Linked DNA regions of Callithrix jacchus. The protein of the gene in region 1 interacts with the protein of each later gene in a biochemical or structural test. Links are inferred from orthologs where the notes say so. Each region holds a gene or a part of one and is shown in the gene's direction. Other genes may lie near its edges.

Evidence for each region.
Region 2: the proteins of GABARAPL1 (region 1) and TBC1D2B form a complex in vitro, tested with the Homo sapiens proteins (2 studies listed by BioGRID and IntAct). The link is inferred for Callithrix jacchus from reciprocal best matches to the Homo sapiens genes GABARAPL1 and TBC1D2B.
Region 3: the proteins of GABARAPL1 (region 1) and kelch repeat and BTB domain-containing protein 7 form a complex in vitro, tested with the Homo sapiens proteins (2 studies listed by BioGRID and IntAct, with this or other methods). The link is inferred for Callithrix jacchus from reciprocal best matches to the Homo sapiens genes GABARAPL1 and KBTBD7.
Region 4: the proteins of GABARAPL1 (region 1) and KBTBD6 form a complex in vitro, tested with the Homo sapiens proteins (2 studies listed by BioGRID and IntAct, with this or other methods). The link is inferred for Callithrix jacchus from reciprocal best matches to the Homo sapiens genes GABARAPL1 and KBTBD6.
Region 5: the proteins of GABARAPL1 (region 1) and STK3 form a complex in vitro, tested with the Homo sapiens proteins (2 studies listed by BioGRID and IntAct). The link is inferred for Callithrix jacchus from reciprocal best matches to the Homo sapiens genes GABARAPL1 and STK3.
Region 6: the proteins of GABARAPL1 (region 1) and NEDD4 form a complex in vitro, tested with the Homo sapiens proteins (2 studies listed by BioGRID and IntAct). The link is inferred for Callithrix jacchus from reciprocal best matches to the Homo sapiens genes GABARAPL1 and NEDD4.

Annotation. Positions count from the first base shown.
Region 1 is NC_133510.1:12,779,578-12,785,048, reverse strand, and holds the start of GABARAPL1 (gamma-aminobutyric acid receptor-associated protein-like 1), read left to right. Parts: upstream 1-2,283; 5' UTR 2,284-2,543; coding exon 2,544-2,633; exon of another isoform or gene 2,634-3,074; intron 3,075-3,510; exon of another isoform or gene 3,511-3,876; intron 3,877-5,471. UniProt on the Homo sapiens protein: Ubiquitin-like modifier that increases cell-surface expression of kappa-type opioid receptor through facilitating anterograde intracellular trafficking of the receptor. Involved in formation of autophagosomal vacuoles.
Region 2 is NC_133509.1:25,371,779-25,376,620, reverse strand, and holds part of TBC1D2B (TBC1 domain family member 2B), read left to right. Parts: intron 1-1,279; coding exon 1,280-1,443; intron 1,444-3,146; coding exon 3,147-3,391; intron 3,392-4,093; coding exon 4,094-4,474; intron 4,475-4,842. UniProt on the Homo sapiens protein: GTPase-activating protein that plays a role in the early steps of endocytosis.
Region 3 is NC_133506.1:160,345,446-160,351,074, reverse strand, and holds the start of kelch repeat and BTB domain-containing protein 7, read left to right. Parts: upstream 1-1,844; 5' UTR 1,845-2,143; coding exon 2,144-4,249; 3' UTR 4,250-5,629. UniProt on the Homo sapiens protein: As part of the CUL3(KBTBD6/7) E3 ubiquitin ligase complex functions as a substrate adapter for the RAC1 guanine exchange factor (GEF) TIAM1, mediating its 'Lys-48' ubiquitination and proteasomal degradation.
Region 4 is NC_133506.1:160,303,962-160,309,311, reverse strand, and holds the start of KBTBD6 (kelch repeat and BTB domain-containing protein 6), read left to right. Parts: upstream 1-1,790; 5' UTR 1,791-2,100; coding exon 2,101-4,140; 3' UTR 4,141-5,350. UniProt on the Homo sapiens protein: As part of the CUL3(KBTBD6/7) E3 ubiquitin ligase complex functions as a substrate adapter for the RAC1 guanine exchange factor (GEF) TIAM1, mediating its 'Lys-48' ubiquitination and proteasomal degradation.
Region 5 is NC_133517.1:98,134,495-98,139,336, forward strand, and holds part of STK3 (serine/threonine-protein kinase 3), read left to right. Parts: intron 1-285; coding exon 286-450; intron 451-957; coding exon 958-1,125; intron 1,126-4,842. UniProt on the Homo sapiens protein: Stress-activated, pro-apoptotic kinase which, following caspase-cleavage, enters the nucleus and induces chromatin condensation followed by internucleosomal DNA fragmentation.
Region 6 is NC_133509.1:43,606,986-43,611,300, reverse strand, and holds the end of NEDD4 (E3 ubiquitin-protein ligase NEDD4), read left to right. Parts: intron 1-2,068; coding exon 2,069-2,141; intron 2,142-2,653; coding exon 2,654-2,756; 3' UTR 2,757-3,301; downstream 3,302-4,315. UniProt on the Homo sapiens protein: E3 ubiquitin-protein ligase which accepts ubiquitin from an E2 ubiquitin-conjugating enzyme in the form of a thioester and then directly transfers the ubiquitin to targeted substrates. Specifically ubiquitinates 'Lys-63' in target proteins.

The DNA of each region.
Region 1 (5,471 bases):
GCCTGGGCAATAAGAGTGAAACTCCATCTCAAAAATATAAATAAATACATAAAAATAAAATCAGCATTAGATGAACTATGATTGTTTCCAGTAGATTCGATCAGAAAACAACACTTAAAAAACTTTTTTTTGAGAGGGAATCTTGCTCCTCTTCCTGGGTTCAAGCTATCCTCCCACCTCAGCCTCCCAAGGAGATGGTATTACAAGTGCACCACCACACCCCAATAATTTTTGTAGTTTTAATAGAGACAGGGTTTCACCATGTTGGCCAGGCTGGTCTCAAACTGCTGACCTGAAGTGATCCACCTGTCTTGGACTCCCAAAGTGCTGGGATTACAGGTTTGAGCTACCATGCTGAGCCAACACTCTAAAAATTTTCATCTCCACCCTAATTCTCTTTCTCAACTGGTTATAAATAACTCTTTAGAAAGACTTAGCTATATTTGCATAAAAACTAAAATGAGCCACTGAAAATTAAACTATTTTCAATTTGAAAATAACACCTAAAAATTATAAACATATAACGTGGTAAAATACCTCATAGATTTTCTAGCTTTCTTTATTTATTTATTTTTGAGATGAAGTTTCACTTTTGTTGTCCAGGCTGGAGTGCAAAGGCATGATCTATGCTCACTACAACCTCTGCCTCCTTGGTTCAAGCAATTCTCTCCTGCCTTACCTCCCAAGGCGCCTGCCACCATGCCCAGCTATTTTTTTTTTTTTTTTTTTTTTTTGTATTTTTAGTAGAGAAGGGGTTTCGCGGTGTTAGCCAGGCTGGTCTCGAACTCCTGACCTCAGGTGATCCGCCTGCCTTGCCTCCCAAAGTGCTGGGATTACAGGCTTTAGCCACCGTGCCCTGCCCTTATGGATTTTAATACATAAGGATTGAAAGATGCCGTGGGGAAGTGGGACTATATGATACATTTTCCTGTGCCAGTAATGTAACTTAGTTTCTTTTACTTTCAGAGTACGTGTTTCATTTTTATTTATTTATTGTTTTTGAGACAAAGTCTCGTTCTTTCCCCAGGCTGGAGTGCAGTGACCGCCTCGCGGGTTCAAGGGATTCTCCAGCCTTCAAGGGATTCCCCAGTAGCGGGGACTACAGCGGTGCCCATGCCTGGCTAATTTTTGTATTTTTTTTTGTAGAGACAGTGTTCTGCCATGGTACCCAGGCTGGTCTTGAACTCCTCAGCTCAAGCGATCCTCCGTATAGGCCTCCCAGAATGCTGAGAGTACAGGTGTGAGCCACCACGCCCGGCCCCCTGTGGGTGTGTTTTTTAAAATTAGAGACACTGCGACCCGGATTGAAGAAGATAGGCCATGGGGCTTCTGTGTCTAACATTTTTCAGAATTCACCCGACTTGTGTGGGCAAAGCAGTCCCTTTTCACTGTTCTTTTTTACAATCTCCACAGCACTCCCTTCGCTGCCTACAGTACTGGTTGGAAGGCCTCTGTCGTTTGACTCTCGGTGGTTAAAGCCAGAACGAGGCTTCACCGCACCTGCCCCAATGCTCAGTCTGCCACTAGCATTCCAGGCGGCGCTTTCTAGTCACGTGAGGGATACCCAACCACTAGAAATAAGATGTGGGGGAACTGAGATCATCACCTAAATTGCTTGATACTTTCTTTTCCAGAAGACACGCCCTCCTTCTGGATTAATGGCAGAAAGTGAATCATTTCTATATTTGATTGTACGTGAAGCCCTCGGTAGTCCTTACTGACATCACGTCTCCTCTGGACATTGATTACGCTCCGTGTCCTTCACCTGACATCTCTTCAGATTCCTGAGTCACGCTCTGTTTATGTTGCTGTTCCAGGAGCGAACCACGGCGCGGATCCAAACAGTGACGTCAGCGCCGGAGGAGCGGCAGCGGAACGCGCAGAGGGCACGGTGCAAGCACGGGACAGCTCTGCATTGGCCAAAGGGATCCCAGGAGGCCTGGCCCTCTGTTCCCCCGAGGGTGGATCCCAACCAGCAGAGACAGGCTGGATTTTTGCCTTTTGTATTTGTTCCGGGGCCCAACCAACAAAAACAGTGGAGGGGGAAGAAAACATGTTTAGAATATTTTTTTTGTTTTAAAACCGTATTTAATTTCACGGTTACAAAATAAAACACAACTAGAATGTTTTGATGTTTGCAATGACATCGATTTTAAACAAGGTTAGCCAGAAAGCAAAAGCAGTGAGGCAGAGCTGTCGGCCTCCTCCCGCCTTCGGCGCCTGGCGCGCGGGGGCGTGGCGTGGCGCGCGGGGTGACGTCACAGGCCGACGCTCCGCCCGGCTGTTTTTGTGCTTCCAGCTCTTCGAAAAAGCCGCTGGTATTTCTCCACCTGGCTCTCCTTTACCTCCAGGCAGGCGCACCCGAGGTCCCCCTCCTTTTCCCCCACCGCGCACTCGGCCCAGCGCTGTTGCCCCAGGAGCGGACGTTTCTGCAGCTGTTCTGAGTACACCTTGACGTCGGCGGAGGGAGCAGGACGCGGCCAACTGTCAGCTGCGAAGGAGGCAGGCCCCGCGCGGGGATCTAGCAAGCCCTGCGGTGCATTATGAAGTTCCAGTACAAGGAGGACCATCCCTTCGAGTATCGGAAAAAGGAAGGAGAAAAGATTCGGAAGAAATATCCGGACAGGGTCCCCGTGAGTGTAGAGCAGTGGGGGGATGGGACAGGAGGGCCCGCGGGGGCGGGGGCGGGGAGTAGCGTTGGCTGCCCTGGGGCGCCCAGGCCGCTCTGGAGAAGGTGGGGGGGGGGTTCCATGAATTACTTAATCCTGAAAGCTCTTCAGTGCCAGAGCCAATGGACGTCCAGACTGCGGAGCTTTTAAAACCTGTATGCCAGCAGCCTGAATCCCACTTTAGAGCTGACGGCGTTTTTGGAGCCGAGCCGCCGTCTGCAGTGACTCAGCAGTATTGAGACGTGTGTGGGTTGAGGGGTGCACAAAATAGGGCCCCTGTGTGCGAGAGTGGTGAGGTCGGGGCCATGGATTGGCTGCCTTTAAGAACGCAGGGACATTGTGCTCTGCCGTGAGGTTTGCCCCGGTCGATTTCTGCCTTGGTTGGTTCCCCTTTAATGAAGTTGACTTTCTCTCTCATATCGTTGGGCTTGGGAGGAAAAGGTTCAGAAGCCATTCGGTGCTTTTCTTGCATTCTCTCAGAATTACAGGGGGGTGGGGGAGCACAGGACAGTCCTGGCCTGGAAAACAAGGTCACGTTCTCTGCGCAACAGCCCGCTTGCCTCATCGTTCTAGGCTCCGGGGCATGTGTGGAGACAGCTATCCTTCCCCGGTATCGATTTCTGATCACATGGTACCTGGACGCGATAAGGCAGGACTGAGACTCCTTTTCTCTGTTTTGGACACCGGCTTAAGTAGTTAAAACCAGCACAGGTAGTGAGGAGGAACGGAGAAAAATAATTAGGTATCTTCCAGCATCCGGGCGTTTTCCCCAGTCCTCCCCCCCCCCCCCCCCCCCGTAATTCTGAGAGAATGCAAGAAAAGCACCGAATGGCTTCTGAACCTTTTCCTCCCAAGCCCACTTGCCTGGTGTTTCTCTAATGTAGGCTGCGATGCCAAATTGAAGGCCAGAATATGACTTTTAAGTGGTAGAGGGACCAGCAACTGTTGGATTTTGGAAATGGAGTAGCGGAGATTTTACGGTGATCTTCATGTGGGGACATTAGTGTTACAAGTCACATAATGGTAAAACAATTGCTGTTATCTGGTGTCTTTTCTTGATTCACAGCCACTCTGGGTTTCTTCTTTAATCCTTACCTAACATTCATGGTTTTATAGCTACCAGAAGCCGCCAGCGCCTTAGCCCAGCAGTACAAACCTCTTGTACCTCTTTTCCTTAAAGGAAAAAAAAAAAAAAAAAAAAAGTCATTAGGGCTCTTCCATTCCCCAGGAATTACAAAAGGGTTTTCAGCTTATAAAGGAATGTGCAAAACCCTTAGCCAGTAAAGGATCCTTTACGAATTACTTTCCTGGTTTCTGGACCTTGGATACCTGCTGTGAAAGTTTCGCCCAGTTTTGGTGATGCCAGTCTTACTTTTGAGTAATGATATTTAAAAATGACAGCCAAGTTTTATTGATAGTTTACCCTAGCATTATTGTATCAGTCTGTAATCATTCACTTAATCCTTACACGATTATAATCCCGGTTCTACAGATGGAGTGTTCAAAGCATAAAGAAATGCAGTAACTTCCTAAAGGTTTCACGTTGCTGATCTGTGGTTGAGCCGGAATTCCACCCCGTCTGATGGACTGTGGAGCTCTCGGAGACCTTAACCTCCATGCCATATATCTCAATTTCTAATATAGCTGTATTAACCAGAATTAGTGATGTACTGTGGACTTTACATTGTTAAGTATTAGATAAATATTTTAGTGATTTATGTGTATTCACTCTGAATATTTCAGTGAATTCTCTTCTTTTCCTGCTCATATTTTCGTGTTAAATGTTTTGCTTCTGTGATAATTTTTAAGCCATTAAGACTGTCACTCGGATTTCAGCTTTCCTAGGGTTATGTTTTAACCAGTGGTGAGCTGTTCTCAAAGTGCTTTGTCTGTGACCTTCTTTCTAGTTATGACGCAGGTTCCTTGATTTGGTTCTGGTTCTGGGAATTCATTGCATCCTTGGGCAGAACTCTTAATCTTGTGGTGCTAGAGTGCCTTGTTTACAGAAAAGAGGGTTATAGTAATGACTCCTAAAGCCCATTCCCACTTGACCATTGTTATTAAAGCAATGGCGTATCCTGACTGCTCTCATAACCAGAGCTTACCCCCACCAATATTTCTTCAGAGCTCACGTTGGAAAGAATAGGTGTACTTGTGCCTTCGGAGAGCAAGGGTTGATGGGATCTTGAAATTATCTTCATAGATACAACATACAAAAAAACTGTTAGGAACAGATTGTCTTCTTAAAAATTCATAACCCTACTGAGTATGAGTCACATTTTACAAATGAGGAAAACAGACCCAAAGAGGCAAAGCATCTAGCCCAGGGGTCTACCATACTGAGGAATAGAATTGGGATTCCTGGAAACTTAACCTTGGTTCTGTGAAACCAAGGTTTTAATGATTACCCTTCCCTTTCTCTTCCTCTCCTAGCCCCTCCCTCCCATCCAGGTATTGCAATCTGATTTATCACTTTTTTTCTGTCTTCCTTTGTGGTTTTTAATCTCTTACTGCTGGGTCTCAGAGTTCCTTTGGGCCACAATGCTAGCCTCTTTCTGCCTTTTCCTTTTAATTTCTGACTCACATTACCCTATTTCAGTTTTTACTTTTAAATTTAAAATGTGATCATGTCCCTCTGGTCTTCCTGGTTCAGGATTTTTTTCTACCAGAACATAAAGCAAGTTTGTTTTTTGTTTTTGTTTCTTTACTAATTTTAATCTGTTCTTTTAATTTAAAAGGTTCAAACCCTCCCCGAACTTAATTATGTTAGATAATTCTTTATAATATATGAAGCATTTTCAT
Region 2 (4,842 bases), on another chromosome or scaffold:
TGTTGCCCAGGCTGGAGTGCAGTGGTGCGATCTTGGCTCACTGCAACCTCCACCTCCCAGGTCCAAGTGATTCTCATGCCTCAGCCTCTTGAGTAGCTGGGACTATAGGCATGAGCTACCACACCTGGCTAATTTTTGTATTTTTAGTAGAGATGGGGTTTCGCCATGTTGCCCAGGCTGGTCTCAAACTCTTGACCTCATGTGATCCACCTGTCTTGACCTCTCAAAGTGCTGGGATTACAGGCATGAACTACTATGCCTGGCCAGATCCTCTCTTCTTGATCCTATTCTTCCTTCCCTTTACAGAGGTTGCCAATATTCTGTATTTGATAATTGTAATTTGTGTTTGGATTTAAAAAAATGGTTTTACTACATATATATGTATCCATAAGTAGTCTCTATTATTAGTGTTATCTGAAGATATAAAACAGTATCATGCTGTACCTATAATTCTTCCATTTTCTTTTCCATTCGTTTCTATTACATGTAGCTTTAGCTGAAATATACATTCCACAAGAACAAGAATCTTGCTGTGTTTTGTTCACTGGGATATTCCAAGTATCTAGAATAGTGCCTGGTACATTGTAGGCTCAATCAGTATTTGCTGGATGAATGAATTCATTTTAACTGTGTATAGTACTTTATTAATGTGTCACAGTTTATTCTCCTGTTCATGAATGTTTAGGTTCTTGTACCTTTTCATTTTTTTCTAATACGGACAGTGCTACAGTGAACGTTCTTGCTTGTGTCTCCTCGTGCACATATGTAAGAATTCTTTTAGGAAATACTGGGTGTTAGGGGCAGGCACCTCTTCAACTTAACAGTACTCCCACCAGCAATGTATAAGAATCCTCATTTCGGCCAGGCGTGGTAGCTCATGCCTGTAATCTCAGCACTTTGGGAGGCACCTGAGATAAAGAGTTTGAGACCAGCCTGGCCAACATGGTGAAACCTCATCTCTACTAAAAATAAAAAATACAAAAATTAGCTGGGTGCAGTGGCACATGCCTATAGTCCCACCTACTCGGGGAGGCCGAGGCAGGAGAATTGCTCGAATCCAGGAGGCAGAGGTTGTAGTGAGCAAAGATTGCATCACCGCACTCCAGTCTGGCAACAAGAGGGAGAGTCCATCTCAAAAAAAAAAAGAATCCCCGTTTCTTCACATCCTCACCAACATTTGATATCATCAGATATTTTAATTTTTGCCAATCTTATATACATGAGATTACATTTTGCTTGACTTTTGTTTTTAGTAATAACACATCGTTTTTCCCAACAGAAATTCAATGTCTTCTTTCCGTCCTGGGAGGGGCCATAATGATAGTCGGAGGACTGTGTTTTATACCAATGAAGAGTGGGAACTTTTAGACCCAACCCCTAAGGACCTAGAGGAGTCCATAGTGCAGGAGGAAAAGAAGAAGCCGACCCCTGAAGGAAACAAAGGTATCAGCGCGCTTCCTGTTGTCTGTCATTCTCTGTACTGCCGTCTGTTCACTAGTGATATGGGAGACACTTTATTAGCAGGTATTTTGAGAGGCATAGGCCTGGTGGTGGCTTGCATTCTCTTTGTGAAACTTAAAACACAAAGGCTTGAAAATTATTTAATAAATGTTATAAGAAATAAATGACTGTCTAATCCAATGGCTCTTAAAATTTTTTGGGAGATAGAACACTTGGAAGTCATGATCCTCTTTATGAAATACTGATTTTAAAAAACTTTATAAAAACTTGAATGTACACAAAAGAAGAGAAAATAGTCTTACGAATTCTGGTGTACTCGTTATCCAGCTTCCACAATGTGAACTGTGGTCTCTCTTCTTCCCTCTCCATCTCTAAGTTCCTGCTCCTCCCTGCACCCACTGTCAGCTGGATTATTTTAAATTTTAAGCATTAATCCATTGCATCTGCAAATGTTTTAGTATGTATCTCTAAGACATAATGACTCTTTTTAAAAAATATAGAACTTACTATATTTATAGTTATAATAAATCCTTAATATTATTTAATTCCTTAATTGTTCCCTAAGTGTCTGCTTACAGTTGGTTTCTTTAAGTGAGGATCCAAACAACACCCACACATTATATTTAATTGATGTCTTCTTAGGTCTCTTTTGGTGGCTTTTTCCCGTTCCCCCTCCTTTCCCACATTTGTTAAAGAAACCAGGTCTTCATGCTGAGGAGTCTCGCACATCTGGGTTTGCTGATTGTTTTTCTGTGGGGTCATTTAACATGCTTTCCTGTATACTGGCAGTGAGAGCCAAGGCCTGCCCAGATTCAGGGTGACTTCTGGTTGGACAGGAATGGTGTTTTGGTGGGGAGGTGCTGCGTGCTTCCTATCGCATCGCATCTGAAACCACAGTGTCTGGTTTCTCTCTTATCATATTAAGATTCATCAAGGCTTAGGGTTGTCATTCTGATCCATTCATAACCTTCTCCATCAGCCTTTTGCCAGATGCTTTTAACAGTCATTTATGATTCTAGATTGATTGATTGATTTTTGAGACGGAGTCTTGCTTTGTCACCCAGGCTGCAGTGCAGTGGCACAGTCTCAGCTCACTGCAACTTCTGCCTCCTGGGTTCAAGTGATTCTCCTGCCTCAGCCTCCTGAGTAGCTGGGATTACAGGCACGCGGCAACATGCCCAGCTAATTTTTGTATTTTTAGGAGAGATGGGGTTTCACCATGTTGCCCAGGCTGGTTTTAAACTCTTGACCTCAGGTGATCCACCCGCCTTGGTCTCCCAAAGTACTTGGATTACAGGAATGAGCCTCTGTGCCCGTCCACAATCGTAGATTAATTCATTAAGAGAATATTGATGTTTTAAACATGAAATAATAAATAATTTTGAAATTCCACTTTATACCTAATTCTAGCAAAAATGGGAAGCCAAGGATGCTTAGTATGCCTTCGTTTTCCATTAAAAGTGATCCTATGATAGAGTCTTCCAAGGAAGGATCCAGTGGGGGGAATCAGTCATCTTTGGCTGAAGCATGTTGGTTACTATCTAGAATGCGGTGGGGGCAGAGTCATCAATCTCCTCGGGTTCTCAAGGTGGGGAATGCCAAACTCCTTTGAGGATGATTTGCGAAGATAGTTTCCAAAAGGAAGATGTGGCTTGTATTTAAAACACAGTTTTATTTTTGTGTAGGAGTAACTGGCTCAGGATTCCCCTTTGATTTTGGACGTAACCCTTACAAAGGAAAGCGCCCTCTGAAAGACATAATTGGGTCGTACAGAAATCGTCACAGCAGTGGTGATCCTTCAAGTGAAGGCACACCAGGCAGTGGCAGTGTCAGCATCAGCATCAGGAAGCCAGCCTCTGAAATGCAACTGCAGGTCCAGAGCCAGCAGGAAGAGCTGGAACGGTTAAAGAAAGACCTGTCCAGTCAGAAGGTAACTTCTTCTTCTGGCTTCTGTCTTACCCCACATCAGCAGGCCAAGGGCGGGAGGAGTGAAGGCCAATCTGTGTTTCCCTGAATCTTTCCAGAGACAGTTTTGTTTCCCAAAAGTTGCTTTTCCCTGGAGGTTTCATACTGCCAGGGCCGTCATCCTAGGCGTGGCTGCTGTGCTTGATCATTGGTTCAGAGGTGTTTATATTTGTAAGGAGGGTGAAGAAAGGAGGACTGGGGAGGTTGCTGTCTGCACCTCCAGCCAGTCCTGCCCCAAGATTGAATCTCTCTAAACACAGTTTCAGCCCAGAGTTCTTTAACAGTCGTTAAGAAGACTTTCTGCATGAACAGCAGTTTCCTGAGCTAATCAGCTCTAATTACACTTAACTGTTCAGCAGTTCAGTGACTCTCAGAGCACAGATTTTTTAATACCCATGAACATTTACTGGACACCATTGCTAACTAATTACAGTGGGCAAGTCCATTATTTCCTGTTTCCTATTACTGTTCTCTACAGACAGTCTATGGAGTAAATATGTTTTTTTCTGTTTTTGAGATCCTTCAAGAGGAAGTTCAGTATTAAAATGTTTCCAGTAAAGTTTCTACATTTTCTTAAATTCTGACAATTGCTCCATGTCATGATTTGTGCTTTTTCTCCTCTCCTCGCTTTCCTCACCCTTCACTCCATTCTCCTTTTGGCTCCCAGGAGCTTGTTCGACTGCTCCAGCAGACAGTCCGGTCATCCCAGTATGACAAATATTTCACTAGCAGCCGGCTCTGCGAGGGGGTCCCAAAGGACACGCTTGAGCTTCTGTACCAAAAGGATGATCACATTCTGGGCCTCACCAGCCAGCTGGAGAGGTTCAACCTGGAGAAGGAGAGTCTTCAGCAGGAAGTGAGGACGCTGAAGAGCAAAGTGGGCGAGCTCAACGAGCAGCTGGGGATGCTGATGGAGACCATCCAAGCCAAGGATGAGGTCATCATCAAGCTCAGCGAGGGCGATGGCAGCGGGCCTCTGACCATGGCACCCGGCTCCCCTTCCACTGCACCTGTTGGCAGGGACCAGCTGGAACTGGACAGGCTGAAAGTAAGAGCAGGGCAGGGTTGTGATTGGCATGAGAGACCACCGATGTCACCCTAGAGGCCAGGCCTCTGTGAGCTGATTTGTGTGATGGCAGAACAGTTGCACACCCCTTTTTTTCCCCCCCCACAAGTGTAATAGGACTTGCCATCAAATAATCGTTAATTTTCTGTGGAGCTTCCTTGGAAAGGAAACCTTGCTGCTGCTTGGAGCAGTTTCAAATCTTTCCCCTCACTTGCTTTCAGGCAACTGAGACGTTTCTTTCTGTGTATACCACCCTTAGGACTTCATTATCCTGTGTAACATATGGAGGCTGTTTCTTGCCCCTCCTGTGTACATGAAAGCACACGCAAACTTAATTTGTATAGCTTGCT
Region 3 (5,629 bases), on another chromosome or scaffold:
CAATTTGAAGTTATTCTCTTGTGATGTGTTATCCACACATGCATTGTAATACGGATGATTTTATTTATTTGGTTATGGTAACATAACAAACCAGCACCAGGAGCGGTCACTGTTTTTTAAATAAAAGTGATCTTTAAAAGTCTATCTGTTGCCAGTGCAGGGTGCCCAAGTTCTTGGCATTTTGAACAAAGAATTGGACAAAACTCATAAACAAAGCAAGGATAGAATGAAACAACAAAAGCAAAGATTTGTTGAAAATGAAAGTACACTCCATTGGGGCTCAAGGGCCCTGTTACAGCATTTCTAGAGGTTTAAAGACCCTCCGGAGGATTCCACTGGTTACTTGTTGTATGCCCTATGTAAATGAAGAGAATGAGGTAAAGTTACAGCCATTTGCTCGGCATACACCCTGTGGAGAGGATACTTCCTGTTAGAGCTGAGGTGTGCATCGGCCTATGTTCCCGGCCTCCAGGCCCTATTTTCCTGCCTCAAATCTCTAATACTTGGTTTTGATGATTTAGCTGTTGATCAACGCATATATTAAATAGTTTTGTAAAGCATAGACTATACTGTGTATTAATTCAAGGAACGTCAGGGCATGTATGAATGCTGAAGTCTGAGAATCATGTGCTTTTGTACAGAACAAAGTCTGTTGAAATGTTTTGAGTTAAAATTCTCCCTAAAACTTCTCTACGAAAGCAATTGCAGAGTCTGTTAACTGATTTGTAGAATGGCAGTGAAAGAGGCTGTATTTGGCCGGGCGCGGTGGCTCACGCCTGTAATCCCAGCACTTTGGGAGGCCGAGGTGGGTGGATCACGAGGTCAAGATATTGAGACCATCCTGGTCAACATGGTGAAACCCCGTCTCTACTAAAGATACAAAAACTTAGGCCGGCATGGTGGTGCATGCCTGTAATCCCAGCTACTCAGGAGGCTGAGGCAGGAGAATTGCCTGAACCCAGGAGGCGGAGGTTGCGGTGAGCCGAGATCGTGCCATTGCACTCCAGCCTGGGTAACAAGAGCTAAACTCCATCTCAAAAAAAAAAAGAAAGAGGCTGTATTATTCAATTTGAACACACTTACATTTGCAGCTTAATGAAAATACTCTTGCTCTGCAGAGATGAAATGTTAGTGAGAGCAGCAAATCATCTATTTGTATATGCTCAATTTGCATATTTGAGGCCATCTATTAATACTGCTCTTTAGGACCTCAACCTAACCATCTAAGACATTCTTGTTAAATGAGACCAATATACATCATTTAATATTGAAAATATTAATACTCTTCAGAACCTCTCAAAAAATAAAAATTAAAAATTGGAAGCTTTGTAACGTTTTGCAGTTTTAAAAAAAATACTTGGTTTCAAATTAGCGGGTGCCTCATTTATCATAAATTATAAAAGAGAATCTAACAATTATTGATTACATTCTAGGCACGGGGTAGTGATTTATTAATTATTCTTCTAATAAAAAAATACACATATTTAAGCATCCTATGTAACATATCATTCAACCCCACAAAACCCTGTAAAATATTGGCAGGGCGCAGTGGCTCACGCCTGTAATCCCAGCACTTTGAGAGGCCGAAGGAGGAGGATCATTTGAGCCCCCAGTAGTTCGAGACCAGCCTGGCAACAATAGTGAGACCTCGTTCTTCACCATCAAATCCCGGAGTATTAATTTCTACTTCTGTTAGAGCAGGCAACGAAAGGAAAGCTCGCGATATTTCACAAACTACTACTCCCAACATGCAAAGCGGTTTCCTTCCTCGGTCTTGGCCCGGCTGTCCGAGAGCCCCAGCAGGCCTCGGGGCGCGAAAGGCAACCCGGGAACCGTAGTTCTCCAGGGCGCCTAGCGGGATCGCCAGCGCGGCAGTGGGGCTTCCGCGGCTCCCAGCCAGCGGGTCCTGTGAACGCGAGCAGAGGCGGAGAAAGGGCGCGGAAGTGAGAGAGGGTGAGTCAGCCACTGTCTACGCGATAAAGGGAGGCCTCACCGCGGGGTAGGCAGAATTCAGGAGTCAGGTCCGTGCCGCAGTCTGTTCCAGGAAGCGGCTTGTGTTAGCGTCAGCGAGGGAAGGGTGAGGAGGAGCCAGAGCCGGGTCCTGCAGCCGTTCTCGCCTTCAGCGCCCGTCGCCATCTCCATCATGCAGTCCCGGGAGGACGCCCCGCGCTCTCGCCGCCTCGCCAGTCCCCGCGGTGGGAGGCGGCCCAAGAGGATTTCCAAGCCCTCGGTTTCGGCCTTTTTCACGGGCCCAGAGGAATTAAAGGACACGGCCCATTCTGCAGCCCTCCTGGCCCAGCTCAAGTCCTTCTACGACGCGCGGCTGCTGTGCGATGTGACCATCGAGGTGGTAACGCCCGGCAGCGGGCCCGGCACGGGTCGCCTCTTTTCCTGCAACCGCAACGTGCTGGCAGCTGCGTGTCCCTACTTCAAGAGCATGTTCACAGGTGGCATGTACGAGAGCCAGCAGGCCAGCGTGACCATGCACGACGTGGACGCCGAGTCCTTCGAGGTGCTGGTGGACTATTGCTACACGGGTCGTGTGTCGCTCAGTGAGGCCAACGTGCAGCGCCTGTACGCGGCCTCGGACATGCTGCAGCTGGAGTACGTGCGGGAAGCCTGTGCCTCCTTCTTAGCCCGACGCCTGGACCTGACCAACTGCACCGCCATCCTCAAGTTTGCAGACGCCTTTGACCATCACAAGCTGAGGTCTCAGGCCCAGTCCTATATAGCTCACAACTTCAAGCAGCTCAGCCGAATGGGTTCGATTCGGGAGGAGACTCTAGCAGATCTGACCCTGGCCCAGCTGCTGGCTGTTCTGCGCCTGGATAGTCTGGACGTGGAGAGTGAGCGGACAGTGTGCCACGTAGCAGTGCAGTGGCTGGAGGCTGCTCCTAAAGAGCGGGGTCCCAGTGCTGCAGAAGTCTTCAAGTGCGTGCGCTGGACGCACTTCACTGAGGAAGATCAGGACTACTTAGAAGGGCTGCTGAGCAAGTCCTTAGTGAGGAAGTACTGCCTGGGCGTTGTTGAAGGGGCCCTGCAGATGCGCTATGGCGACCTGCTGTACAAGTCTCTGGTGCCAGTGCCAAACAGCAGCAGCAGCAGCGGCAGCAGCGGCAGCAGCAGCAGCAGCAGTGGCAGCAGCAGCAGCAACAGCAGCAACAACAACTCTGTTGTACCTGCAGCAGAAAATCCACCTCAGAGGCTGGGTATGTGTGCCAAGGAGATGGTGATCTTCTTTGGACACCCCAGAGATCCGTTTCTCTGCTATGACCCTTACTCGGGGGACATTTACACAATGCCGTCACCTTTAACCAGCTTTGCTCACACTAAGACTATCACCTCCTCAGCTGTCTGTGTCTCCCCAGATCATGACATCTACCTAGCTGCCCAGCCCAGGAAAGACCTCTGGGTGTATAAACCAGCTCAGAATAGTTGGCAGCAACTTGCAGATCGCTTGCTGTGTCGCGAGGGCATGGATGTGGCATACCTCAATGGCTACATCTACATTTTGGGGGGACGAGACCCTATTACTGGAGTTAAATTGAAGGAAGTGGAATGCTACAGTGTTCAGAGAAACCAGTGGGCATTGGTGGCTCCTGTCCCTCATTCCTTCTATTCTTTTGAACTCATAGTGGTTCAGAACTATCTTTATGCTGTCAACAGTAAGCGCATGCTCTGCTATGATCCTAGCCACAATATGTGGCTAAACTGTGCTTCTCTTAAACGCAGTGACTTTCAGGAAGCGTGTGTCTTCAATGATGAAATCTATTGTATCTGTGACATCCCAGTCATGAAGGTCTACAACCCAGCTAGGGGAGAATGGAGGCGGATTAGTAATATTCCTTTGGATTCAGAAACTCACAACTACCAGATTGTCAATCATGAGCAAAAGTTGCTGCTCATCACTTCTACAACCCCACAATGGAAAAAGAACCGAGTGACAGTGTATGAGTATGATACTAGGGAAGATCAGTGGATTAATATAGGTACCATGTTAGGCCTTTTGCAGTTTGACTCTGGCTTTATTTGCCTTTGTGCTCGAGTTTATCCTTCCTGCCTCGAACCTGGTCAGAGTTTCATTACTGAGGAAGATGATGCACGGAGTGAGTCTAGTACTGAATGGGACTTAGATGGATTCAGTGAACTGGACTCTGAGTCAGGAAGTTCAAGTTCTTTTTCAGATGATGAAGTCTGGGTGCAGGTAGCACCTCAGCGAAATGCACAGGATCAGCAGGGCTCTTTGTAAATAGTATTTTGAGACACTAAGATGTTTCTACTGCTATGGAATGTATGTTAAAAAGATATCCTCTCTTTTTCTTGGGAAAAAAAGGTTGATTACGACCACAGATTTGGTTTAGAAAGGGTAACATTTTGAAATACTACAGGGTTTAAACAGTCCCTGAAACCAACCCGTTTAATAATTTACTGTGCTGAAAGTCCAAAATTAAAATATGCAAACAAGAACTATATAATTGGTTGGGATGCTTGGTAGGCTTTTTCCTGGTTCAGGTATTCATCCCACAGTGGACTGTTTTGATTAGTGGGCTTATTTTTTTTTTAATTCAGTCTTCTGTTAATTTTTAAGTTTTCTTTAGTGCCACAAAGAATTTATCTTTTAAATCTGTATAATAGAAAACTGGACTAGGGATTGTTGATGGCGTTTTGAAGGATGAGTACTTTCAAAATAATGAAAGTGGTAGATTTTCAAAATCTTAAACTAGTCAGTTCTTTATATTCTAAGTTAAATATAGTTTGTAAAATTATTTTGGTTTTCTTCTACAAAGGAAAAAAATTGGATATATGTATGTTAAGGTTACTGAATAGTGATTTCATTTTGATAATGTGCAGAATGGCCTCACAAGCACACAGAAAGTAAAAAAAAAGGATTCCACACCCTTCTAAACCAAACCAAAACAAAACACAAGGTAACTTGCTTTTTACATTTGTATTTTTAATCCATGCCCATTACACGCTTTATTGAGTCAGAGGAACAATTCCTGAACATATAATTGGGTAATGTAAATTTTTATCCATTGGTCATGGCTTGTCTTAAAATGTTTATTTGCCTCCGTAAAATATTTTGGCTGTATAGGTTTGGTGTTTGTCCTAAAGGATTCTTCAACAAAAAGTGATTTATTCATTACTGTTTTCGTGAGATAATATGGTTTAGAACATACGTATAAGCTAAAAACAGTATTTTACACAGATCAGTAGTTATTGTGTCTATCAGCTATAAAACAAGTGCCAGCAAAGAACTTTAAAACTTTAAGCTGTGTATTATAGAACTGTTTTGTGTAGCATTGGAATATTGTCCATTTTGTAAGTCACTGTAAATGTTCTTAATTATCAGCTTGAAAGTATTTTTGTATGAAAAGTTGACACTGAACAACCTAAGTGGATGATGGCATTTGGGGCCAGTAGTGAAAGTATGTTTCCTCTAAAATATTTCCCTAAACAGTGGTATACATAGTTTTTTTATTGAGATTTGTATATGTTCTGTGTTTCTCTGTGAACATGTTTCAGTCTCTGTCACCATATGTAAGGGAAAGTCCATAAATATAGACTAAATTGCACAAAACTGACATTGTTAATTACAGGAAATATAGGTGCTTACCTTTTGAAGGTT
Region 4 (5,350 bases), on another chromosome or scaffold:
GTTTTCTTGAGAAGTAGCAACCTTAGCATATTTTCAGCCAGTTAAGTTTCCTTTAGCTTTGTCAGTCCAGCCACTAGTGTGAGATTTGATTTTTGAGAATAGCCAATTCCTTGGATAGCTATAAAGACTTAAATACATTAGTGACTTGGGTTCCGATGGGTACTTATCAGTTGTCATGAAACTTTCTTTCCACAGCATACCAAAATCATGTACAATTCCAAAAGTAAACTGGCTGTCTGTATAAATGTTAGTTCCCTTATCTTGTGCTAACATGCAAGTTTGAGTGAGCGCTTAAGAGTTCAATGATTTGGGCCGAATTAACTTAGGTGGAGATTTCATCTTAATAGGCTGTTGAAAATCTGCAATAGTGTATCCTGCTTAAAATTCCCCATTTGTACTCCTGGGGCAAGAACCATCTACAAAGAAGGTGATATCAAGTTCTGAGAGGAGTTCTGGTGATGTGAGGATGAGGAAATGTGAGAGACTGTGTGACGGTGACACAGTCACAAGGTTGTCCTTCAGAGGGAATGGGAAGAAGAGAGGTTTGTTTTGACTATGGTGGGCAGTGATGTGAGAGGAAGACAGTGGCAGGGTTTCACAGGAAGTGGGTCGGAAGTGGAAACGTGTTTGGTGTTCTCAGTGACTTTTAACATCTGAACTGCATGGGGTGTGTAAAGGTTGAGGGAATGACTCAAAATGAAGCCCGCTCTGATGGAACAGCAACTTCATACAAGCAAGGGGAGAAATGCTTGCACCACTGGGTCTCAAAGGATGCTAAGTTACTCACCAGGCCTCTGGCTTCCATTGTATTTTAGAGTGAGGACTCTCTAAAATATGTCTTTTCTTTTGGGTAAAAAGGGGAAAGGGGAAACTGAATATTGGAGAGTGGGAGAAGACGCTGGAGAGGACTTCAGGTTTTGAAATGCAGATATGGAAGGAAAGTCTCAAAGTCAGGTGATTGGAGGTGATTTCCTTTTAGTCATGGCAAGTAAGGACAGGCAATGGTGGAAAAGCCAGGGATCTAATTCAGCAGCAACAGCCAACCAATCCTACAAACTGAGTTATCTTTTGGTATCAGGGAGAGGCACAGCATGTACAAAAAAAAAAAAAATCACTTCTAACGGATGCATACACTAATACAAAATGTTAATAATAAGGGAATTGCGAAGGGGGAAGAGATATAGGAAGCTCCCGGTCCCTTCTGCTCAATTTTTCTGTAAACGTAAGATTCAAACCTACTAATTAAAACACACACACACACCCCTAAAAGGGATTCTCTGCTGCAAGGTTTTCTGATTTTGGGGGTTGTTTTTTGTTTTCCTACAGGCTCATAATTTCAAATTAGTGGTGCTTCATTTTTTTTTAAATAAATGCTGGAAGAAAAGTTAAAACTTATAGAACCTTTACAACCTAAGAAGCGAATAATTATTCTACAAACCAACAAATATTAAGAGCGTCCTATAACCAACTCATTTAATCTTCACACAATCCTATGAAATACTCCTGTTCACATTTCACAAAAGAAGAAGAAACAGTTCAGAGACAAGTCAAACAATATATACTAGAACGAGGCGACTACTTTGGATACCAAAACCACATTTCCGAACCACAAAATCCAACCTAGGAAAATTGGCGCTCTCGAGTGTCGTCATTAAAATAAGGAACACAGAGAAGGATCGCGATATTACACGAACTACTACTCCCAACATGCAAAGCGGTCTCTTTCAGTCTCGGCCCGGGGGTCCGAGAGCCCCAGTAGCCCTTGGGGCGCAAAAGGCATCGTGGGAGCTGTAGTTCTCCTGGGCGCCTAGTGTTGTCGCCCACGCGGTGGCAGCGGCGTCTGAGGCTCCCAGCCAGCGGGTCCTGTGAACGCGAGCAGAGGCGGAGAAGGGACGCGGGTGTGAGAGCGGGTGAGTCAGCCACTGTCTAAACGATAAAGGGAGGCGGCTCCTTGGGGTTGGGCTGAATTCAGTAAATGGGCTCGTGCTCCGGCTTCTTCGGACACGCTGCTGCCTTAGCGTCAGCGAGGGAAGGGTGAGGAGGAGCCAGAGCCGGGTCCTGCAGCCGTTCTCGCCTTCAGCGCCCGTCGCCATCTCCATCATGCAGTCCCGGGAGGACGCCCCGCGCTCTCGCCGCCTCGCCAGTCCCCGCGGTGGGAAGCGGCCCAAGAAGATTCACATACCCACAGTTTCGGCCTTTTTCACGGGCCCAGAGGAATTAAAGGACACGGCCCATTCTGCAGCCCTCCTGGCCCAGCTCAAGTCCTTCTACGACGCGCGGCTGCTGTGCGATGTGACCATCGAGGTGGTAACGCCCGGCAGCGGGCCCGGCACGGGTCGCCTGTTCCCCTGCAACCGCAACGTGCTGGCAGCTGCGTGTCCCTACTTCAAGAGCATGTTCACAGGTGGCATGTACGAGAGCCAGCAGGCCAGCGTGACCATGCACGACGTGGACGCCGAGTCCTTCGAGGTGCTGGTGGACTATTGCTACACGGGTCGTGTGTCGCTCAGTGAGGCCAACGTGGAGCGCCTGTACGCGGCCTCGGACATGCTGCAGCTGGAGTACGTGCGGGAAGCCTGTGCCTCCTTCTTAGCCCGACGCCTGGAGCTCACCAACTGCACCGCCATCCTCAAGTTTGCAGACGCCTTTGACCATCGCAAGCTGCGATCTCAGGCCCAGTCCTATATAGCTCACAACTTCAAGCAGCTCAGCCACATGGGTTCGATTCGGGAGGAGACTCTAGCAGATCTGACCCTGGCCCAGCTGCTGGCTGTTCTGCGCCTGGATAGTCTGGACGTGGAGAGTGAGCGGACAGTGTGCCACGTAGCAGTGCAGTGGCTGGAGGCTGCTCCCAAAGAGCGGGGTCCCAGTGCTGCAGAAGTCTTCAAGTGCGTGCGCTGGACGCACTTCACTGAGGAAGATCAGGACTACTTAGAAGGGCTGCTGAGCAAGCCCTTAGTGAAGAAGTACTGCCTGGGCGTTGTTGAAGGGGCCCTGCAGATGCGCTATGGCGACCTGCTGTACAAGTCTCTGGTGCCAGTGCCAAACAGCAGCAGCAGCGGCGGCAGCAGCAGCAGCAGCAGCAGCAACTCTGTTGTACCTGCAGCAGAAAATCCACCTCAGAGGCTGGGTATGTGTGCCAAGGAGATGCTGATCTTCTTTGGACACCCCAGAGATCCCTTTCTTTGCTGTGATCCGTACTCTGGGGACCTTTACAAAGTGCCCTCACCTTTGACCTGTCTTGCTCACACTAGGACTGTCACTACCTTAGCTGTCTGTATCTCTCCAGAGCACGACATCTACCTAGCTGCCCAGCCCAGGACAGACCTCTGGGTGTATAAACCAGGTCAGAATAGTTGGCACCAACTTGCAGATCGCATGCTGTGTCGTGAGGGCATGGATGTGGCATACCTCAATGGCTACATTTACATTTTGGGGGGGCGAGACCCTATTACTGGAGTTAAATTGAAGGAAGTAGAATGCTACAATGTTAAGAGAAACCAGTGGGCGTTGGTGGCTCCACTGCCCCATTCTTTTTTATCCTTTGACCTGTTGGTAATTCGGGACTATCTCTATGCTCTCAACAGTAAGCGCATGTTCTGTTATGATCCTAGCCACAACATGTGGCTGAAGTGCGTTTCTCTGAAGCGCAATGACTTTCAGGAAGCGTGTGTCTTCAATGAGGAGATCTATTGTATCTGTGACATCCCAGTCATGAAGGTCTACAACCCAGTTAGGGCAGAATGGAGGCAAATGAATAATATTCCCTTGGTGTCAGAGACCAATAACTACCGGATTATCAAGCATGGCCAAAAATTGTTGCTCGTCACCTCTCGCACCCCACAGTGGAAAAAGAACCGGGTGACTGTGTATGAATATGATATTAGGGGAGACCAATGGATTAATATAGGTACCACATTAGGCCTCTTGCAGTTTGATTCCAACTTTTTTTGCCTCTCTGCTCGTGTTTATCCTTCCTGCCTTGAACCTGGTCAGAGTTTCCTCACTGAAGAAGAAGAAATACCAAGTGAATCTAGCACTGAATGGGACTTAGGTGGATTCAGTGAGCCAGAGTCTGAGTCAGGAAGTTCAAGTTCTATTTCTGATGATGATTTTTGGGTGCGTGTGGCACCTCAGTGAAATGCACAGGATCAGCAGGGTTTGTTGTAACTGAATTCAAACACTAAGTTGTTTTTGCTGTTTTGGAATATATCTTAAATATCCTTTTTGTTCCCAAAGGGGAGGAAAAGTTGATTAACTGGTTTGGTTTAGAAAAAGTAATGTTTGAAATATGAAGGTAATTTAATATTACAAATTTTAACACTCAAAGCAACCTTTTAATAATTTTTTGTGCTAAGAATCCAGTATTTATTTATTTAGTATGTTTATGTTTCATAAAACTAATTTAGTCTTTTGATAAATTTTACATTTTGTTTATTGCCACAAGCACCGTGGCAGTAACTTTTTAATTTTAATTTTTATAACAGAAAAAGGATTAGGAATTGCTAGGCAGTGTTTTGAAAGCATATCTTTTTCTTCAGAACAATGTAGATTTCCAAAATGGTTAACCTAAGGGGTCTTTATAAAATATATTATAAGTTAAACATAGTTTGGGAAGTTTTAGTTTTGTTTTCTTCTATGAAGAAAAAAGTACAGGCTGGGCGCAGTGGCTCATGCCTGCAATCCAAGCACTTTGGGAGGCCGAGGCGGGTGGATCACTTGAGGTCAGGAGTTCAAAACCAGCCTGGTTAATATGTTGAAACCCCGTCTCTACTAAAAATACAAAAAAAAAGAATTAGCCAGGCGTGGTGGCGTGTGCCTGTAATCCTAGCTACTTGGGAGGCTGAGACAGGAGAATTTCTGGAAACTGGGAGGTGAAGGCTGCAGTGAGCCAAGACTGGGCCACTGCACTCCAGCCTGGGTGACAGAGCAAACTCTGTCTCAAAAAAAAAAAAAAGCATATGTGTATTAGGGTGACTAAATGGTGACTTCATTTATAATAATACAGAGAATAACTATAAGCTCACTGACAGTAAAGACAACAAACCAGGATTCCACTGTTTGAAAAGAAGTTTCATTGTAATTTTGGCATTTAGAATGTATATTTGCAAAGTGACCGATTTTCATCTAAAAAATTAGATTCTAGTTGTGTCACCCAATCATCTAAAAACTTGAAAAAAGAAGTAACTTTCTTTGTAGGTTTGTATTGTTGCTCTAAACCTGATACATGCTTCATTGAATCAGAGGAATAATCCTCTTTTCCACTGAACATGTATAAGTTTCACTGGATTGTATAAATTTTTATCTGTTGCCTTAAAAAATTATGTGATTCTCAATATGTTTTAGCTGC
Region 5 (4,842 bases), on another chromosome or scaffold:
CCCACGTCTCTACAGAAATAAAAATAACTTAGCCTATTTGGGTGGCGTGTGCCTGTAGTTCTAGCTACTCGGGAAGCTGAGGTGGGAGTATGGCTTGAGCCCAGGAATATGAGGCTGTAGTGAGCTGTCATCACGCCAACTGTGCTGTAGCCTGGGCAACAGAGTGGGGTGTCTTACACACACACACACACACACACACACACGACATACTTGTTACTAGTGCTTTTTTGTAAGAGTTTATCTAACATGGCATTTTAATATGGTTTTAAAAATATTTCTTTCCAGTTAACAGAAGATGAAATTGCAACCATTCTTAAATCTACATTGAAAGGACTAGAATATCTGCACTTTATGAGAAAAATACACAGAGATATAAAAGCTGGAAATATTCTCCTCAATACAGAAGGACATGCAAAATTGGCAGATTTTGGAGTGGCTGGACAGCTAACAGTAAGTTAAATTTAATAATTTTCTAAACACTTGGCTAATTTGTTCAGCTTTGATTGTAACTAAACTTTGATAACTTTTTGAGGGGGAATGGAAAGAAATGTGTAACTTTTTTGTTTTTGTGGAGAAGGAACCCTAATCGAGCCAAATTCGAGTATTATTTAATTTATAATTTAGGATAATTGAATATGAAAATTTGTAATCAAAATGCTTTACTGTTCTAAAAGGGAAGCTAGTCAGCTCATTTGTGTAGCTTTCAGCATTATAGTATCTTTAAGGATTGTATTTAAGTGATGGTAGTAGAGATAAGTTACCTGTGGATTCTTGGTTGTTTTCAGAATTCAGAATTCCTAAGTATGTCATAACTGGTTGAAATTTTAGCAAAATATAGTCAATTTCTGATACAATATGTGGCATTGGAGGTTTTGACTTTTTCTTAAAGAATGTTTGGCATACAGATTTCCTTTGTGTTTTTGTAGTAGCATTTATGGCTACGTAACATTATTGCAGGATACGATGGCCAAACGCAATACTGTAATAGGAACTCCATTTTGGATGGCTCCTGAGGTGATTCAAGAAATAGGCTATAACTGTGTTGCTGACATCTGGTCCCTCGGCATTACTTCTATAGAAATGGCTGAAGGAAAACCTCCTTATGCTGATATACATCCAATGAGGGTAAGAAAATTATGATTTGCTAAAAATGTTAGCCTTATATAAGTGTTGCAGTTTTGTAATGTCAGTGTAAGTAAATATAAACTAAATACGTTTATTTAAATTTGTTCTTTTTAAAAATGCTAAAATTATCTCTTAAAGATTAGTAACTGATAATTTCTCTTCCTTCTGCATTCTAAATTGTGGGAAAAGAAGTGAAGGCTCTGTATATGTCTACAGTCACTGTTCTACCCCCAAAAATATACCTGTAAAGTTTTTGCTTGCTTTTCAGTAGAAGAAAGGGTTGGTAAATCCTCTTTGCTCTTCAGTTTATTGCTTCTCGATGTGATAGTGGAAGAGTTTGAAGTAATCTGTTCTTACCCACTCCGTAATGTATACCTGTCTCTCTCTCTCTCTATCTCTCTCTCTCTCTCTCTCTCTCTCTCTCTCTCTCTCTCTCTCTCTCTCAGTGTGTGTGTGTGTGTGTGTGTGTGTGTGTGTGTGTGTGTGTGGTTTTTTTTTTCTACCCTTTCTCTTTGGTCTGAGGATGATATTAAGCAATCCTAATTTCTAATATTGCTATGCACCTGTAAAGGAATTAGGCTTTTTTTTTTTTAATGAATCCTTATTCAGAAAATGGAATTCCTTTGTTGAACATCATTATATGTTTCTGTGATCGCTGCAGGAAAATTTTTGAGTTTGAAATATATATCTTACATATTCAAGTCCAATTGCCTATGTTTCAAGATTTGTGATGATATACTTTTTAGGTTTATTACTCTGTGAATCATATAGATAAGTTCATCATCATAGATAAGTACATTTATCTTTGTATACTTATTGCCCTCTAGTGGCTGCAGTTACCTCAATAAGGATATAGAAATGAAGGGAAGAGTGTATGTATGTGTAGAAAAGAGAAGATAGTGTCATGGTGGCTGGAGGAATTTGAAGTAAGTAGGAAGAAGAAGAATGCATTATTTTAGGCTATCTGAAGATGAATAAATTGGAATCACATCTGATATTATAATGCTATTGTGGGTTAAATTTTGATAATATAGGTAATAGTGTATTATATGGAAAACATTTAAAAATCTGTCTGTTGTATTGAAACATTTTTATTTTTTTATTTTATTTATTTTTATTTTTTTGCCAATCAGTTTGAGCTTATGAGGTTGCTCAGGTTAGCCTTGAACTGATGACCTCGCCTTCGCGAGCATTTTTAAAGAGAGTTTTTGTTTTCTCATTCTTTTGAGACAGGGTCTTACTCTGTCACCCTGCCTGTAGTGCAGTAGTGCGATCATGGCTCACTCTAGCCTCAACTTCCTGGGCTCAGGTGATCTTCCCACCTCAGCCTGCAGAGTAGCTGGGGATATAGGTATGCACTATCATGCCCAACTAATTTTCTGTTAGTAGAGACAAGTTGTCGCTACATTGCCCAGGCTATTTTCTGTTAGTAGAGACAAGTTGTCGCTACATTGCCCAGGCTAGTCTCCAACTCCTGGGCTCAAGCGATCCTCCCACTGTGGCTTCCCAAAGTGCTGGGATTACAGGAGTGTGCCCAGCATAGAATTCTTTGAGTAATATAATCGTATACAATATGTACCATCTTCCTTGTGTATGTAAATTCCTTTTGGTAAATGAAAGATAAAAATAGCATCAATTGTTTTAAAATAAAATGAAAAATAACAAGGTCAGCAAGAACAAAAACAGGAACACAGAGTCTTACTTCTTCTCTGATCATTAGTTATCTGTGGTTATTTTAGTTAGGATGTTTGTAGAGTGATCCTCAAAGTAGACAAGTTTGTGTTTCAGTCCGTGAGGGTTACTAAATTACCCAAGGCAACTTAGGTAGGTTCCAGAGCTGGGATTTAACCTAGGACTTCCATTATTACCATTCTGCTTCTTCCCTGTGTAAATCTTATTTTTCTATCCAAATAGTTCAATATGTTAAATTTGACCCTGTGCTACTTTCTCTAGCAGAGAGGAGAGAATTGTAATATGTGACCCCTTCCTTTAAGGATCTGATAATATTACCTGAGAGTTTGAATGAATACATAATACATTGTTAAAAATATACCTGATGATAGTGTTTCTCTTAGGAAAAAAAATATATATATATTGCAAATTTCCTCGGATGCCTTGCTTACTGTTTTTTTTTTTTTCAAACCAGTCTAAATCCTACCATTTTTTAAAGTCTCAACTCAGATTTTATTTCTGGATAGACCCATTCTTGACAGCTGTCGCCCAAGTAAATTTCTCTTTTTCCTCATAATTTGTATATAGGCAATTTTTGACAGTCCAGTTCTTTGGATAGTTAATCAAGTGTTGCCTTGTACATTTCCAAACATAATATAGTTTATCTCCTATTTGAATGATGGCATTATTTAACTTTTTTTGTGTTTGTGAGCTGCCTCACAAATTAGAGTATTGAACTGCAAGTATTGGGGGTTGTTAAGATCATGTAACAGATACAGTTCTATCATGGGCAACAAATACTGCCTTTTATTTGTCTTGAAATGACGGGTTCACTTGGTTCATTTTTGAGAAAATGTCTGTCAAATACCCATCTGTGTAACCTTAGTTTTCTGTCAGTTATTCTTCAAGTAAAATCGGTGTTCTTGAAAAGAGCCTTGTAGTTTATTTAGCTTGCAGCTCAGTCATGCAACTACTTTTTTTCAGATTATTATTGTTCTTTGGTATGTGGGGAAGTGCATTATGCATATTTTCCATTTTGTCATGTAGAATACTACAAAATATATATTCACGTGTGGAAATTTAATAAAGTTAATAACTTTTACTGTTTCTTCAAGGTTTACAGTAGTTTGGTGGGGGGCATAGTACGGGCGTGAAAAGAGCTGTTCAAGAGAGAAAAAAAATGTAGTGGGTCCAGCTAAAATTGGTAATTGAGAAATTGTAATGTAATTAATACTGGTTTATGGGCCTTCCTGTGGTAGCATACTCTGCTGCGCAGTAGAGTGCATTATGGCCTTGATATGCAGGGTTTGGGTTTTAATGAATTAGTGTTTTTAAAGGATGGGGCTACAGGGAATTTAAGGATGCTGCTGAGATACACTTCAGGTGGTTACTAACAGGGCACAGTCTGGAAAGAGAGAGAAATTCTGGAAAGAAAAGAGAATATAAGGAAATGGAGCAATCATGGAATAGTGTTCTCTCCATGCTTGCTGCATAGCAGTCATCTGGGGAGCCCTACCCTAAACAGATGACATCTGAATCTCAAGAGGTTAGAGAGGAGATAAAGTGGTTGTTAAGATATGAGAAAGCTGGTAGGATATCACAGTATGATAAGTAAGTGGAATGATTTTCTTTTTTAACCAATATTTTTTTTTGTACTGTAGTAACTTTGTGAAATTAATATTTTATTCTCCATTGGGTAGATTGGATGAAATGGATAAGATTATTTGTTAAGATGACATAACTTATCAGCGGCAGAACTGAGATATGAATTCAGTTTGATCTGTATTTTTGCCTAGACACCAAAGAAATATCCTCTGTGTTAATATGCCAACTCTATGCAAGTGGAGGAGTGGCTAAAAAATTAGACATTTTTAAACCATCTAATCACAATATTTACTAATTTAAAATCTGAACCCTCTAAGTTTTCCAGAGTAGCAGGAAATATGGACAGATTTTAATTTTTTATGTTTTGTTTTCCAGCCATTTTTTGGTAGCCATATAGATTAATGAGATAACCAATAATCTATAGAGTTGCCACAATGAGAC
Region 6 (4,315 bases), on another chromosome or scaffold:
TTCATTAATGTGTATTTGCAGAACAAATCAAGCAGCTGCTCCTTCTCTACCTAGAGTAACCCACTCAAAGTGGTTAGCTTTGCCACTACCAATTCAGTGATTTCTTGCCTAATTGGACTTCGTAGCCTCTGACTCCCCTTCCTTTATCTTCTCTACCGTAACCAGTTAGTAGAGAATAAAGGCAGGGCAAACAAATGCTCTTTTCCATCTCTGTCTGGCCTCTTCCTCCTTTTATGTAACCCAGGCCTATCCACTGATTTCATTCACTGTTTCAAATTTGGGGCAAATATCCCACACATAGTGCCAGAGTTGTTTGTGTTAAAATATAAAGTCAAATTCTTATATATTTATAGAAAGAAGAAGTTATTTCAAAATGTTAAAATTACAATGCAATATTAGATAGCCAATAAAAAGTGTTTTAAGTCGGCTAGGCGTGGTGGCTCACTCCTGTAATCCCAACTTTTTTTTTGAAATGGGTCTCACTGTCACCCAGGCTGGAGTGCAGTGGCACAATCTCAACTCACTGCAACCTCTGCCTCCTGGTTTCAAGTGGTTCTCCTGCCTCAGCCTCCCAAGTGGCTGGGATTACAGGTGCCTGCCACTACATCCAACTAATTTTTTGTAATTTTAGTAGAGACAAGGTTTCACCATGCTGAACAGGCTGGTCTCGAACTCCTGACCTCATGATTTGCCTGCCTCAGCCTTCCAAAGTGCTGGAATTATAGGCATGAGCCACTGTGCCCAGCCCTTGACATATTTTATACAGGCATGCAATGAGTAAAAATCTCATCAGGGTGGATGAGGTATACATCCCCTCAAGCATTTATCCTTTGTTACAAATGACCCAATTATACTCTTTTATTTATTATTAAATGCACAATTAAATTATTTTCTACTATAGTCACCCTGTTGTGCTAGCGAATGGTAGGTCTTATTCATTCTTTTTAACTATTTTTTTGTACCAATTAGTCATCGCCACCTTGTTCACTCCCCCACCCCCTACAACCTTCCCAGTCTCTGGTTTCCATCTTTCTACTCTCTGGGATTTTGTTTCGTTTTGGTTTGGTTTTGAGACAGAGTGTCACTCTTTTGCCCAGGTGGGAGTGCAGTGGCGCAATCTCAGCTCTCTGCAACCTCCACAACCCGGGTTTAAGCGATTCTCATGCTTCAGCCTCCCAAGTAGCTGGGACCACAGGCATGTACTACCACGCCTGGCTAATTTTTGTATTTTTAGTAGAGACGAGGTTTCGCCGCATTGACTAGACTGGTCTCGAACTCCTGGTCTCAAGTGATCTGCCTGCCTCAGCCTCCCAAAGTGCTGGGATTGTGGTTTGTTTGTTTGTTTAATTAGCAGGGCTAACTCATAGGTAGTGTGCCCAGAGTCAGCCAGATTATTTGTATAATTCAAAAAAATTAAAGCTATTTTCAGTGGTACTCAAAAAAGAAAGAGAATGCTTATTTACTCTTTGTACCTATGAGGGAAATTGTATATGGAAATGCAGTGTGTATAGAGCTAGGATACAGCAAAAGCAATGTCAGATATGCCACTCCACGTGTGATATGAAAAATGAACTGATAGACAAGGAATCTTCATTTCATGGCTGAACAATGAAGACATCCAGCACAGGACTTCATCTCTTGAGTTTAAAGAAACCACATTAGAAGGCTGGGTATGGTGGCTCATGCCCATAATCCCAACACTTGGGAGTTGAACTGAGAGAATCACTTGAGGCCAGGAGTTCAAGACCAGTCTGGGCAACAAGGTGAAACCCCCATCTCTATAAAATCAATTTTTTATGAGTTAGCTAGGCATGGTAGTGCACCCATGTAGTCCTGGCTACTCAGGAGACTAAAGCAAGAGGATCACTTGAGCCCAGGAGCTTAAGGCTACAGTGAGCTTGAATCATGCCACTTCACTCTGGCTTGGGTGACAGAGGGATACCCCATCTCTAAAATATAAATAAACCGGATTAGTTCCTTGTATGTGTAGGTTCTACACTAGAAAAATTTTGGTATGCCTGGAGATCCTTGTAGAGAGTAAATGAAATCAAATAAATTTTCCTTATAGGTTCAAACGGACCACAGTTGTTTACAGTTGAACAGTGGGGTACTCCTGAAAAGCTGCCAAGAGCTCATACCTGGTAAGCAGTTGTCTGGACCTTGATAGAACAAAGCCTCAGAGAGTGAGGTTCCTCTGATCGTCTAGCTACAGCAGGGCTAGTCTCCTCTGTTACTGTAGTGGCAGGTGTAGATGATGGATAAGGATGAGACTGCAACACTAACCCAACAAACAAGTGTTTTGTTACCAAGTTTGCCGGGGCTTGAAATCCAGGTAGCTGAAGATCAGAGAGGCCCATTTAAACTGAGTGATGAGTGATCAGCCTTCCCAAGGGGGGCTAGAACATTCCATTTTGGAGGTTAACATGGTAGAGGAACTCAGCCATTTGGAAGACAGGTAGAAGCAGGACTCCACAAGGAGTCGTGTGGAGCATCCATGCCCAGAGCCCAGTCCTACATCTTACTTCTAGCCCCGATGAAAAGACGTATTTTGGTGGTGTTGGAACTTACTCATCACGATTAGCAGCACTGCTGTGTGCTCTGGTGGTACTTGCTTTGTCAACGTCTTTCATAACCAGTTCCTCTGTTCTTTCAGCTTTAATCGCCTGGACTTGCCACCTTATGAATCATTTGAAGAATTATGGGATAAACTTCAGATGGCAATTGAAAACACTCAGGGTTTTGATGGAGTTGATTAGATTACAAATAACAGTCTATGGTGTTAGCCAAATCATGACTTAAAATTTTCCAGGGAACTACTAAAACCTGGCCACTGATTCTTCCCAGATCTTGAAGAAAAGCATATAAAAAGCATTTGAAGAAACAGTATGACAACTTTATTTTAATCGCTTTTAAATAATGTGTTGTATTTACACAGTTGTTCCATTCTGTCTTTAGAGTTCACACAATAGGATATAAGTCCCGTACGACTTAAATAGTGAATTTTGGCCATAACATTTACCTCTTGTATAGTATCTGCCAGGCAGTTTTTTCTTAAACTACTGAGATTATAACTGTGAAATATTTGTGATAAGTGTCATGTGTGAAGATGTTGATGCATTTTGAGATGGAAAACTGAAATTTGGAAAAAAAAATACTATTGCATAAACTACAATGTATTTAGTGCTACTCGCAGTATTTATTATTTTTGTAGACCTGCCTTATGCACCTTACCGCCTAGATTTTTGGAAAAACCTTGGAAAGTGTGTTATCTATTTTTCTAGTCAACTAACTCACAGAAAAACAGTTTACTTCTTCACTTTCAAAGTATTTGGCTTTTTGTTAATATGCAGTTTTTACTAAACAGGTGATTCATAAGACATGTGAAGCAAGTCATTTTTGCGATGGGTAAAAAGTATTAAGGCCTTTCTCTTGCCTGCATATCCTTATGATCATTGGTATAGTCATCACTTTTTCATATTTTAGTGTAGTTAGAATTCCTTCTTCAAACATTGAAGATCCACAAAGCAGTATTTCTAAATATGCCTTGAAGAACTAAATGAAGTGTATAGCACTTGCCTTTACTAGTCATTCTCTACACTTGTACAATTATGTAGTAAATGTATGTTTACAGCGTTTATTATGTTTACAGATTAAGCTAATTTCTGTAGTCGCATTTTTATATTTTTAGTATCACTCTAGTAAAAAAAAAAAACAAATGATTTGTTTAAAATAACCAAAGAGTTGATATAATGCATAATTTGTATTAAATTTATTACTGTATTTCTTATGCTTTTTGAAAATACTGTTTACTATGAAGACAATGTTTTATTACAAATCCAAAACTCTGTAGGCAAAATGCTGTAGGTTGAATCCTTCTTTAACCAAACTGAAATACATAAAGACCATGTACATGCATTCATCAAAGGTTTATTGAATGCTCTGTGCATAGTGCTGTGCTGTGCCCTGGGGTAAGGTTTGTCAGCTTCAGAGAAATCTGGCTGAGTCCTGATCCTCAAGGGACTTACAGATGTGTCAGTGAATCTGTAAAACAATCAAAAGTAGGGGTAAGCAGAAGAAGGTAAAAGGGAAATGTTCTAGATTCCAGCGCACCTGCAAAGATAAGTGTGCCAACACTGTATTTATATTTCATACTTATATTGTATCATCCTTATATTGGCATGCTTATATAGAAAATGGGTCTTAAATAGATGAAGCCTCTTTCTCAGTATGGTATCTTGGTGATTTAGGAATAATTGTAAATATATGTTATGAATCTTCTTAAATATATATATTATATATATCTTAAATATATATA